Mus musculus: one gene and its partners. The protein of the gene in region 1 purifies or fractionates together with the protein of each later gene. This does not show direct contact. Links are inferred from orthologs where the notes say so. Each region holds a gene or a part of one and is shown in the gene's direction. Other genes may lie near its edges. The genes, in order: Marchf5, Mfn1 and Mfn2.

Region 1 (3,647 bases):
AGAGAAATTAAAAAAAGAAAGCAGGTCCTGTGCCAGCTGCCTCCTGGACCCTCCCTGTGGGTACCTTCTCTTCTGGACTGCGCTCTGGGTTCAGTCCCCAGTACCAGCATCATAAATAAACAACTGAGATGAAACTGGCTCATACTGTTTCCTGTCATCCTGTTTGCCCTCCTTGGTTGCAGCCCACATAGTGCCTGGCATTCTCCTCTCTCTCAGTGTGTAAGAACTCCATGGGAAGAAAGCTACACAAGTGATGTAGGAACAGGGCCTCTTCCTTTGCTACTTGAAGCCTGCTCTTTCCCAACTTCTGCCCTCACAGAAGAGAATGTTTCACTTGTAATTATCAGCATTTACTTGGCTTCAAATCCTGTCTTTTGTGATAGGTGTAAAGTTCTTTTTCTTGTTTATCTGATCCTGCATTATAAAAACATTAATTTCCCTTTTTATTTTAGGGTGGAATTGCTTTTGTTGCCATAAAAGGAGCATTTAAGGTTTACTTCAAACAGCAGCAATATTTACGTCAGGCACACCGCAAAATCCTAAATTATCCAGAGCAAGAAGAAGCATAAAACTGACTTCTGGTTGTTCTGAGGCCTCTCATCCTGACGAGTCTGTTGTGTTCTGATTCCATCATTAATGCGCTAGTGGAGACTTGTGACGCTGCTCCTATATTCTAAGAGATACAATAAAGCACGCAGGGCCGGGGCAAGCCGCCCAGTAATCACGGACCTAAGGACACGCGTCAGCTCTGTCATTTGTATGTTCTACTTTTATGGCAGTCGGCTAAACCATTATTTTAGCATGGGAAACCTGAGTTTGTTCATATTTTTCCAGACAAGAATGTAAAGATAAAACTGTACAAACATTAAAAGTGGACATGTTTTATTCTGACGCCTCTTTTGTATATACTCAGTTCAGTGTTTTCTTAGGAATAGCAACTCGATGAAGGAACTGTGAGGGCTTTTCTCATTGGTGTAATTGATTGTATGCTACAAAGGAGCCTCTGTTAACAGGAGGAAGTGTAAACTAGTTCTGAATAAATAACAAACCCAGAAATGTATGTCAGCATTGAAGTGATTATCTGAACAAAAGAGATTTTGTTTTCTTTTCCTAAACCCATGTGACATCTCAGATGTGAAGGGTCAGTTTCCAGGGCTTCCAAAGCACTTTTTCACTATTAAACTTTATTTATGCAATGTTGACATCTCATAGTTCATAGTGTACTTTTGACTCGTAGTCGTCCTGTGTGTGTGGTGTGAGGGTGTGTGTGTGAGCGGGGAAGGGGACTTCAGAAAGAAGGTAGGAGGGAGGGAAGCAGAGGATAGTGATAGGGAAATGAGGTGGAAGGCCCTTTTATCACTTAGTATGTTTTTAAATTTGTATTTCTACAAATTAGAACTACTGATTCATAGGTTAAGCAGAGAACAACTTGCAAAAAATGATAATAAAATTATTGGGTTTCTGTTGATTCCGTTATTCAGATATTTGTTAACTGGCTCCCACTTACCTAGTCACTGTGCAGGTGCTATGGGATAGAGTTGGGGAACTTGTTCAGAGAGTCTGCAGTCTAATAGAACAAGCACTGATTGAACCCAAGGGAGCTCTTGAATATCAGTGAGGTAATTATGGAGTATTGATCAGGGTCATTGGTTTCCACTTTATCTGTTTATAGGATAGCCAATACTGTTTTTAGGGTATCTTGTTTTTGAATCAGGGTCTCTAGCATAGCTAACCTCAGACTTCCTGTGTATCTGAAGGTGGCCTTGAGCTCCTGATCCCTGAGCCTCCTAACTACAGGTGAGCACCACAACACCTGCTTTTCTAACTTAATGCTGTGGATTGAACCTAGGGCCTTACACATGCTAGGTATACACTACATCACCAGCCCTCCTTTTAGATTTTAGTTGTCATATTAAGGGGGCGATCTCCTTACTAGTCATTGTTTAACTAGTTTTATATTCATTGTTCAAAAGCAATTATTTAGGTCATGTTTAATAGTGACCATTACAATGTTCAGCAATCTGATTAGAATGAAAAATTTTTTTTAAAGATTTATTTATTTATTATATGTAAGTACACTGTAGCTGTCTTCAGACACTCCAGAAGAGGGAGTCAGATCTCATTATGGGTGGTTGTGAGCCACCATGTGGTTGCTGGGATTTGAACTCCGGACCTTCGGAAGAACAGTCGGGTGCTCTTACCCGCTGAGCCATCTCACCAGCCCCTAGAATGAAAATTTTTAAAGTTTAAAAAATAATGCTGTTCACAGTATATGATGCATGATAATGCTCCCCCTTTCTGCGAAATGGATACTTCTCTTTAGAAGTGTAACAAATATAGATTGAGCTGTGTTAGATTGTAAATAAATATTTTAGTAAAGACTGGTATCTTTCTCTAGGTTGGTTATCTCAGTTTTGAGTTTTACGGTGTCTGTGGGAATGACTCTTTTGAACATCCAGAGTTGTAATTATCTAGGGTATAAGGGGCAATTTGACTGAGTTAACCTTAACACTGCTGTTATTCTGTAGAGAAAATGTGAACCCTGATTATATATAAAAATAACTAAGATCTACAGCTGTAATTATGAAATTGGCTTCCATCATTGCCAGTGTGAAAATATATATATTCTGACATTTCCTGGATACTCCTGTTAAGTTGAGCAGCTTTTACACAGCCACAAGCCCTCAGCTCCCTGTGTACTACTTTAATTTCCGGGGTGGTGGTGGGGGGTGGGGAGCTGCTTGGATCGATCTATTGGCATCAAGGCCCGTGAAGGCAGAGGTTTATAGAGCTATGGGGAGGGAGCCACACTTGTCTGCAGTCCAGAGTGAACACTAGCCCTGCTGCATTTGAACACCACATGACAGGCCTCCCTGGAACCACAAATCAAAAGACATGGGCAGACTGAAAGCTGAATAGGTTACGTTGAGCTCCCATCAAGTTTTAGTAGCTGTAGTGTATAACCTTGGCCAGGTGGCTATTCAGCCACAGTTACGTTCATCTCTAAAATGCAAGTCACACCTAGACACTTTCTAGGATTTGGTTGAGAAAAGACAGGTACTTTCGGCCTCAGTAGCTCCTAAAGGTGGTCGTCCCATCTAGGACAGGGCAGTAACCAAGGGTAGGGCCCTCGAGGACAGAGCCAGCACAGACTTGAGGATTTGTGAGTATGCTGTTCTCCGATTTTCTTTCTTTTTCTTCCTTCCTTCCTTCCTTCCTTCCTTCCTTCCTTCCTTCCTTCCTTCCTTTCTTTTTGTCCTAGAAATGTCACATTTAAACCTTTTTTTAAAAAAATTAGAATTCAGTGATTAGTAAAATTCTATTGTAGAAGTTAACTCCATCTAAGTTGGCTGAAAATGTTCATTACTTACCAAATGGTTGAAGAATATATAATTAAGTGGCTTCATTAGTCACTGCCTTGCTAATTTTGCTGTATTTTTTTTTCTAATTCCTTGTTTTTAATATAGAAAACTCAATACTGGCTGAAATAGGTTGAATAAACAATTTTTATGCTCTCTAAGTGTATTTTGTCTGTTGAACCAACCCTAAACTTATTTCACTATTTTGAAGTTAAGTTTTAAATATTTATTTTTAGTTAAGTGTATCTCTATGTGGGTGTGTGCACATTGAGTGCAAATGCCTATAGA
Region 2 (4,122 bases), on another chromosome or scaffold:
ATCTTCAAATTTAGGCAGAGTGAGAGCACAGATCTGAATTCTAGCACTTGGGAGGCTGTGACAGCGGGTTTGTGAGTTCTTTTTGTTGTTGTTTTGTTTTGTTTTGTTTTTTGTTGTTGTTTGTTTGTTTGTTTGTTTTTTTTGGAGACAGGGTTTCTCTGTATAGCTCTGGTTGTCTTGGAACTCACTTTGTAGATCAGGCTGGCCTCAAACTCAGAAATCTGCCTGTCTCTGCCTCTCGAGTGCTGGGATTAAAGGTGTGTGCCACCACGCCCAGCTCATGCTTGTTTTTTTAACTCATCCATTTTAGCACTGTCCTTCCTATGTGTCTTGGACAGTTTTTCTCCAGATATTCCCAGTAACAGTCCTGAAATGACCTGAGAAATGACATCCTTTCAGAAAACACATACCTCTTTGGCTCCACCTTGCTCATTTTTCTTCACTCTATCCTCTTGTCCTGATCTCCCCCCCCCCCCATAATAGCAGTCATAGTCTGAAATGATCTCATTCACTGTATTTATCCAACTTTTTTATCCAACTTTTATTTTTATTTATCCAACTTTTGCAGGTGCCCATCAATGTTTTAAGCACTTTACACCCTAACCCATTTACTTTCCCACAATTCATGAAGTAGGCATTTTTAGTATTTTATAGATGAGGTAGCTGCCATTCATATGGATAAAGGGGCTTCCCTGGCAAAAGCATCTCATTTGCTAACTCTGTAAAGAACCTCTCAGGACACATGCTGTGAAACCTCTCTTGGAAGGTGGAACATGTAGAGTCCTTGGGCTTCACCCTCGATCAATCAATCAATGGTTTAACAAGATTCCCAGGTGATTCCTAACAAAGTTTAAATCATGAACAATTAATTTTCTTGAGTAATACCTCTTACAGTAAGTAGACACACACAGCTCACTCCAGTAACCCCAGAAAACCAATCAAGACCAGAGCAATTGGAAAAGTCAAAGTTTTGACGACCCCCCCCCCCCCCCCCGCATGATAAACATCTATGTGGTTTTGGGGTACTTCTCCCCCTACACCCTCAGATAACCATGGACATCTTTTCACACTTGGCGCCTTTGAGCTTTGAAAACTCTGAAGGGAAAAACCAAGGGGAGGAGTTGGAAGGTGGAACAGAAAACAGCCCAGTGGTTAATAAGAACTCCTGCCCAAAACAAACCTCGCCTTCAGCCCTGAAGGAAAATGGCGCCCGCAATATATGCAGTTCTGGTCTCGAAGCGTCAGCCAATAGGAGATCCGAAGCGCCGGAAGTAGCCGCCCCTAGCCCCTCCTCTGGGCACCTCCCCTCTTTCGGGAGGATGAGACAGCCAGGGGGCTGTGGCGGAGCTGTGGTTGCTGGGTGACAGTGGGGAGCAGGGACGGAGTGAGTGTCCGCTGGCGGGTGGCGACGTCCGGGGTGACCTTCGAGCTCCGGACCGGCGCAGCGCGAGCGCCCTGACGGGCCGGGGCGGCGGGCCGGGCAAGGGCGACGGGCGGCCAGCCTGAGGGAAGGCCCTGTCCAGGTAGGAATCCACCCGGCTGGGCAGGCTCTCGGCCCACGCGGCTTCCTCTCCCCACGCACCTCCTCCGCGCCGTCAGTTCAGGATTCCGGAGGGAGCCACCCTCCTGGTGGCCACGGCGCTTCTTTTCACGCACACCAGCGTTAGCGTGTGCTTGTCTTTGGTGGCTTTTCATAGGAGCTTCCAGGTAGAACGTCTTTTACTTTAAATTCAACATTCCTTTAAGTTTGGGGACTTTGGCTTGAAGCCTTCCTTCATGCCTTCTTTAAGTCTTGACTCCGTAATTGTGACGAAAGCTGCTACCTTCTTGGTGTCTGTACTGCATTAAGACTTGGGCATTCTTTTATTTTCTTCGCTAACTGGGAAACTTAGTTTAGCTAAACTAGTTTCATCTTCACTCGAGGAAAATAAATTAGGGATTACAACCAAGATTTTTGTTACTAGCTTTTACCGATTTTACATTTATTTACATATCTACTCTTCCAGGATTGAAGATTGAGCCCCTCCCAGGTCTCCCATGCTAGGCAAATGCCATTGTATCCCTAAACCGGTTTCTAAACTGAGTGTCACTGAGAGACCCAGGCAAGCCTTGATCTCACTCTGTTGCCTCTTGTAGACTTGAATTTTCAGCTTTTCCTGTGTGACACTCCTGAGTAACTGAATTACAGGTAACATGACAGGAGGCAAATTTCTCTTTTTTTAATGGGAGATCACTCGAGAGTAATCTTTGGTTTCTGACTAACATGGTTTCTGTAAATAAATAAATAATACTAAAAAGTATTTTATCTATTTGGCCAGGTTAATTTTTTGCTATTAGGAAATTGAGGCATGAACTAGCAGGTATCAGACTAAGCATGATTTTAAATGTTTGCTCTGTTTTTAGATTTTTTAATGTGTATGTTTTTCTTCCATATACGGATGCATGTTTCACCACAGTTTCTGCGCAGTGCCCTTGAGGTCAGAATAGGGCATAAGATCCCCTGGAACTGGAGTTACAGGTGGTTGTGAGCTACCAATTTAAGTCCTTCTGAAGAGCAACAAGTGTTTTAAAGCACTGAGACATCTGCCTAGCCCTGGAGGCATGCACATTTCATTTCTTCTTTCTTCTTCTTCTTCTTCTTCTTCTTCTTCTTCTTCTTCTTCTTCTTCTTCTTCTTCTTCTTCTTCTTTTGTTTTTGTTTTTGTTTTTTATTTGTTTGATTTTGAGACAGGGTTTCCCTGTGTGTCCCTGACTGTCCTGGAACTTGCTCTGTAGACCAGGCTGGTCTTGAACTCACAGACATCCAGCTGTCTTTGAGTGCTGGGACTATGCGCCACCACTGCCCTGTTTTCATATGGTTTTTAAAATTATATTTAACTTATATGTGGAAGCGGTAGACTTTCACAGTTGGTGTTTGGAGGCAGAGAACAACTTGCTGGAGTTGGTTCTCTCCTTCAACCACTTGGTTTCTGGAGGATTGAACTTAGTCTCCTCCACCTGAACTGTTTTGAGAGATTTTGAGTTTTTCGTTTTGAACAAGGTTTACCAAGGCTGGCCTGCTTCAGCCTCCTCCTGGCTGGGATCACAGGTGTGTAACACCACACCTTTATCATTCAGCTTTTTTTTTTTTTTTTAAATGTGTACGGGTATTTTGATTGCATATATATGCAACCAAATTTTGGTGTACCATGTGTGTACCTGTGTCTGTGGAGGCCAGAGGAGGACATCAGAACCCCTGGAACTTGAGTCTTAAGACAGTTGTGAACTGCCATGTGGGTGCTGGGAATAGAACTGGGTCCTCTAGAAGAGCAGCCAGTTCTCTTTAACTGCTGAATCACGTCTTCAAGCCCCTCATTGTTAAGTTTAAGTAGAGCTTTGGAGATGAGGAAAGCCCTGCTATGTCGCATTGTCCAGGTAAAACTGGACTTCCTGGTGTGAGTGCACCCCCTGCCTCAGCCTGCCCCAGTAGCTGAGACTCCAGGCATTTGTCATCCACAGGCTAATTATTGCTTTTCTTTTTTTTCTTTTTTTTTTTTTTTCTTTTTTTGGTTTTTCGAGACAGGGTTTCTCTGTATAGCCCTGGCTGTCCTGGAACTCACTCTGTAGACCAGACTGGCCTCGAACTCAGAAATCCGCCTGCCTCTGCCTCCCAAGGGCTGGGATTAAAGGCATGCGCCACCACGCCCGGCTTAATTATTGCTTTTCTAACCTTTTTCTCAACCTAGGTGCATAATGGCAGAAACGGTATCTCCACTGAAGCACTTTGTGCTGGCAAAGAAAGCCATCACTGCAATCTTCGGCCAGTTACTGGAGTTTGTTACTGAGGGCTCACATTTTGTTGAAGGTGGGTACCTCTTAAACTAGTAAGGTTACTGTTGAAAGTGTACGCAGGTGCTTTATTATTTCCACTTCAGTTTTTTATTTTACCCTTTTGAGATCAGACTTGCCTTGAAATGGCTGTGTAGCTTCCAATGGCTTTAAACTCTGTTCCACTTGCCTCTGCATCCACACAGGTATGTGACCTGCTCAGGCTTAGTTGTGGAATTCACATTGTTCTGCATTCTGGGAACTATGCCATAGTGAGTGAAAACAATTTCACAGTTAAGAAAAGAGTAAGGTACT
Region 3 (3,647 bases), on another chromosome or scaffold:
ACACACACACACAGAGGACACTGAAACTTAGACTCAGATAAGGGAGATGAGTCCCTTCCTTGTCACTTAGTTGATGAGCATCAGTTAGAATCCTGGCCTCTTGTTTCCAGGTTAGGCTCACCACTGGGATGCTGGGGTCTTTGATGTGAGCATTGGGAGGTGTTGGTGGTTTCAGCAGAGGGGGAAAAGATCCCAAAAGCAGGACTGCAGGCCAGAGCAGATGTGGATAAGCTCTGCTCAGCTGCTACTCAGTTCTGTGTAGATTTAACCATGAATAGAAGAATCCTGCCTAAGCCGCCATGTGCCCAATTGATCCAGTCTCTGTCCCCTCAGGGAATTGTCTGGGACATTTGCTCATCTGTGCCAGCAAGTTGACATCACCCGAGATAATCTGGAGCAGGAAATTGCTGCCATGAACAAGAAAGTCGAGGCTCTGGATTCACTTCAGAGCAGAGCCAAACTGCTCAGGTGAGTGGCCAAGGACCAAGTGGGGGAGGTGGAGCTTGTCTGCCACCTGGTGTCTCCAGTGTGGACACTGGGTGCTCTCTGGGGATTTCGCTTTCTTGTGAGATGTTTGCTTGGCACTGCTGAACGTGGGATGGACAGTGCTAGTGCTGGAGGCTTAACAGACAGTTCCGCTGTCCTCAAGGTGCTTGCAGATGGGGCAGAATGACATCCAGGAAACAAGCAAGGCAGTGCTGGATGTCACAGCTCATGGGTTGCCCTCTGAACTTGGGCCTCAGCACTTGGCACAGCTGTCCCACCCAGTTTTTGTCACCCCTATAGGTCATCAGCTCTGCACATTTTGTTGTGTTTGAGACAGGATCTCTTTGTGGCCTTGACTGGGCTGGAACTTGCCATATGAATGAGGCTAGTCTCAAATGCACTGAGCTCCCCCTACCTCTACTCCCCAGTGCTGGGGTTAAAGGTGTGTGCCACCACACCCAGATCAGCTCTGCTTTCTAATAGGAAAGTTGGTAGCCATGGAGGCTGAGTCCCTTGTCTGGAGCTCTACAGGAAATGGCCAGATGGAACGTGGGGTGCAAATGGATTGCACTTTGGTTTCCCTTGCTCTGTGTGAGAGCTGCCATCCTATCAGTCATACTCAGTTCCATGCTGAGCCCAGGAGCTGGGGTGCGTAGCACCAAGTCTCTCCACAGGAACAGGATTGGTGGTCTCTTTAGAACTGTGAAGTTTGCTGGGAGGGGGGTTAGTTGAAGGAGTCTGGTTCTGTGTTCTGGCCTTGCACTCTTTCAGCTTTCCTGTGTCTCTCCTGTGGCTTTTATCTGTGAGATGAGCCACAGATGAAAATAGAAGTATTCTGCTAATTCCTTAGCCTGCTCAGGCCATGATAACATCAGTATATGGGGAGCTGCACTTCCTGCCCCCACCTCTGATGTCAGAGGCCCACGGGGGACAGAGCTAGATAATCAGAGGACTTGAGCTCTAGCCATGACAGATCAGTGGTCTTTCCCTCCTTTGTCTGGCCTACGCAATATGCACCTCTTGCCCATCACCAGGGATACACTGCTCTTCCACTGGGACTCTTGGGTCCAAGTGTCTGTTGCTACCTGTAGCAATAAAGATAGCCTGAGCTAACACCCAAACCTTTATCTGTCAATCAAGAAAGCTGGCTTCCAGAAACTGAAACTTGCTCTGGGCTGTAACCAAACTAGAAAAACCTAAAACCTGCAGTAGTGGTTCACTCCTAAAATCAGAGGACATAGGAAGGTAAGGCAGGAGGATGGCTGTGAGTTCCAGGCTAGCCTGGGCTACTTAGTGAGATCCTGTCTTAGTTCACTCCTTTTAAAAATTGCCTGGCTCTGTCCCATCAGCTTGTGACCTCCTTTTCCTTATTTCCAAAATAGGAAAATGTCCTTTTAAAGGATTGCATGAAAGTTCAGATAGGCTAGTGTGGTCTGCCATAGCAGCTGTCTGTACAGTCATCTTGTATTTGCAGGAATAAAGCTGGCTGGTTGGACAGCGAACTCAACATGTTCACACACCAGTACCTGCAGCCCAGCAGATAGTGGGCAGCCAGGGCGGACCTGCACGAAGAAGAGGCAGGGCCGCACCTCCCATCAGCTCTAGTCCTTGGCCGCTGCAGAGAGAAGGAAAGCACCCAGTCTTGTACCAGTTACTCCCTACCCCCTGCAGGAAGACCCCTGGCTCATACCCTAATGGAGACCAACAAGGACTGGACAGCTCGGCTCCAAGGAGTTATGCATGTGTCTGTGTCTGCTCCTCACGCTCACCCGGTTGAAAGTCACTGTGCATTTGATAAAGTTTTCCTCAGAATGGCACCCTGCAGAATGACTGATGGGCGCCTTCACAGGCATCAGGCAGCCACTCCTACTTTCTCCAGCCTGAGCACACCTACAGAGAGACAGTGTTGGGGGTGACAGGATGCCCCAGAAAAATTCAGGATACTTCTGAAATTGCCATGTTTGTCTCAGAACTTGTATCTTGCGTTTGGCCCTCAGCTTTAGCACTTTTTCCCACTTGCAGAGTCTTTCAGTTGTGCTTGGTAGCCAGGCTCAACACACCGGGGCTTTAGACTCAAGCAGCTTATATGGGAAGCTGGAGACCCCTGCCAGCCAGAGCACAGTAAGGGCTCGGAGAAGGTATGTGAACTAGGGTATCTGATGTGGTAGTGCAGTTGGTGTCTGGCATTGTGACGACAAGGGACTTGCCTCCCTTCTTGCCACTGAGGCCCTTGCTTTTCCTTCAGCTCTTGGCCTGTTGGTCCGGTTTATTAGTGAGAGCTAGTTTGCTCCAGGTGGTTAAAGGATGTAGCAGGAGGAATGGTGGAAGATGGGAGCTGCCCGGGTTAGTACAGAAGAGGTCTGTCTATCTGACCTAGCACTGAGGGGTTCACAAACCTGTGAGGTGCACCTCACTAATTTTGGCTCATCCCTGCCTTGCTACAAGCTCCCTGTGGCCACCATTCTCTGGACTGTACCGTGCTGATGACTGCAGCTGGCTACAAAACAGCATGAGAACCTGGCCGCTGTTCTCCTACTGCCTCCACCCTCAGGCAGGCCTCCTCCTCTTCTGCCCCTGAAGCCTCCTGCTGCTTGCTCCTCCTGCCTCCACCCTCAGGCAGGCCTCCTCCTCTTCTGCCCCTGAAGCCTCCTGCTGCTGCTCCTCCACCTCAGTCAGTGCTGAACTTCTCACTGTTGAGTGTTGAAATTGTTAATGGTCAAAGCAGGGAGGATGCCAGTCACCAAGGTTGATTGTCTTGGGAAAGCAGTTTTAGAGTGATGAATCCTTTGTAGGACAGGTAGAGAGTATCTTAGAGATAAAAAAATGGGCTATGTCCTCTCCTGCCCATGTCTTGTGCTCACTCGCCCCTCAGTCTACCCTTTTTGCTGGGACAGTGATGGTCTTGGCCAAGGTCAGCATGTAATGGAAAGACAGTGTATTGCCAGGCTGGATAGATGGGGTCATCTCACAGTGGGTCACGTGAAAATCAGTGTCACGTAGTCCCAGTGAATGTTGTGTTCTTTCTGGGGGGAGGGGGGAATAGAATAAACTCAAATTCTTTTTCAGTATAGCCCCTGAGTAATGAATGAAAATTTGAGCTTATGTAAGTAAAGATTCATTTATGCCACCAGGGAGAGCCTGTATCTGAGAGACATTTAGCA

Evidence for each region.
Region 2: the proteins of Marchf5 (region 1) and Mfn1 purify together in Homo sapiens (affinity purification with western blotting; 4 studies listed by BioGRID, with this or other methods). This does not show direct contact. The link is inferred for Mus musculus from reciprocal best matches to the Homo sapiens genes MARCHF5 and MFN1.
Region 3: the proteins of Marchf5 (region 1) and Mfn2 purify together in Homo sapiens (affinity purification with mass spectrometry; 5 studies listed by BioGRID and IntAct, counting the BioPlex papers as one, with this or other methods). This does not show direct contact. The link is inferred for Mus musculus from reciprocal best matches to the Homo sapiens genes MARCHF5 and MFN2.

The regions. Positions count from the first base shown.
Region 1 is NC_000085.6:37,220,938-37,224,584, forward strand, and holds the end of Marchf5 (E3 ubiquitin-protein ligase MARCHF5), read left to right. Parts: exon of another isoform or gene 1-139; intron 140-452; coding exon 453-569; 3' UTR 570-3,520; downstream 3,521-3,647. UniProt on the Homo sapiens protein: Mitochondrial E3 ubiquitin-protein ligase that plays a crucial role in the control of mitochondrial morphology by acting as a positive regulator of mitochondrial fission and as an important regulator of immune response.
Region 2 is NC_000069.6:32,528,173-32,532,294, forward strand, and holds the start of Mfn1 (mitofusin-1), read left to right. Parts: upstream 1-1,309; 5' UTR 1,310-1,523; intron 1,524-3,725; 5' UTR 3,726-3,732; coding exon 3,733-3,844; intron 3,845-4,122. UniProt on the Homo sapiens protein: Mitochondrial outer membrane GTPase that mediates mitochondrial clustering and fusion. Membrane clustering requires GTPase activity. It may involve a major rearrangement of the coiled coil domains.
Region 3 is NC_000070.6:147,873,772-147,877,418, reverse strand, and holds part of Mfn2 (mitofusin-2), read left to right. Parts: intron 1-333; coding exon 334-468; intron 469-1,960; coding exon 1,961-2,030; 3' UTR 2,031-3,647. UniProt on the Homo sapiens protein: Mitochondrial outer membrane GTPase that mediates mitochondrial clustering and fusion. Mitochondria are highly dynamic organelles, and their morphology is determined by the equilibrium between mitochondrial fusion and fission events.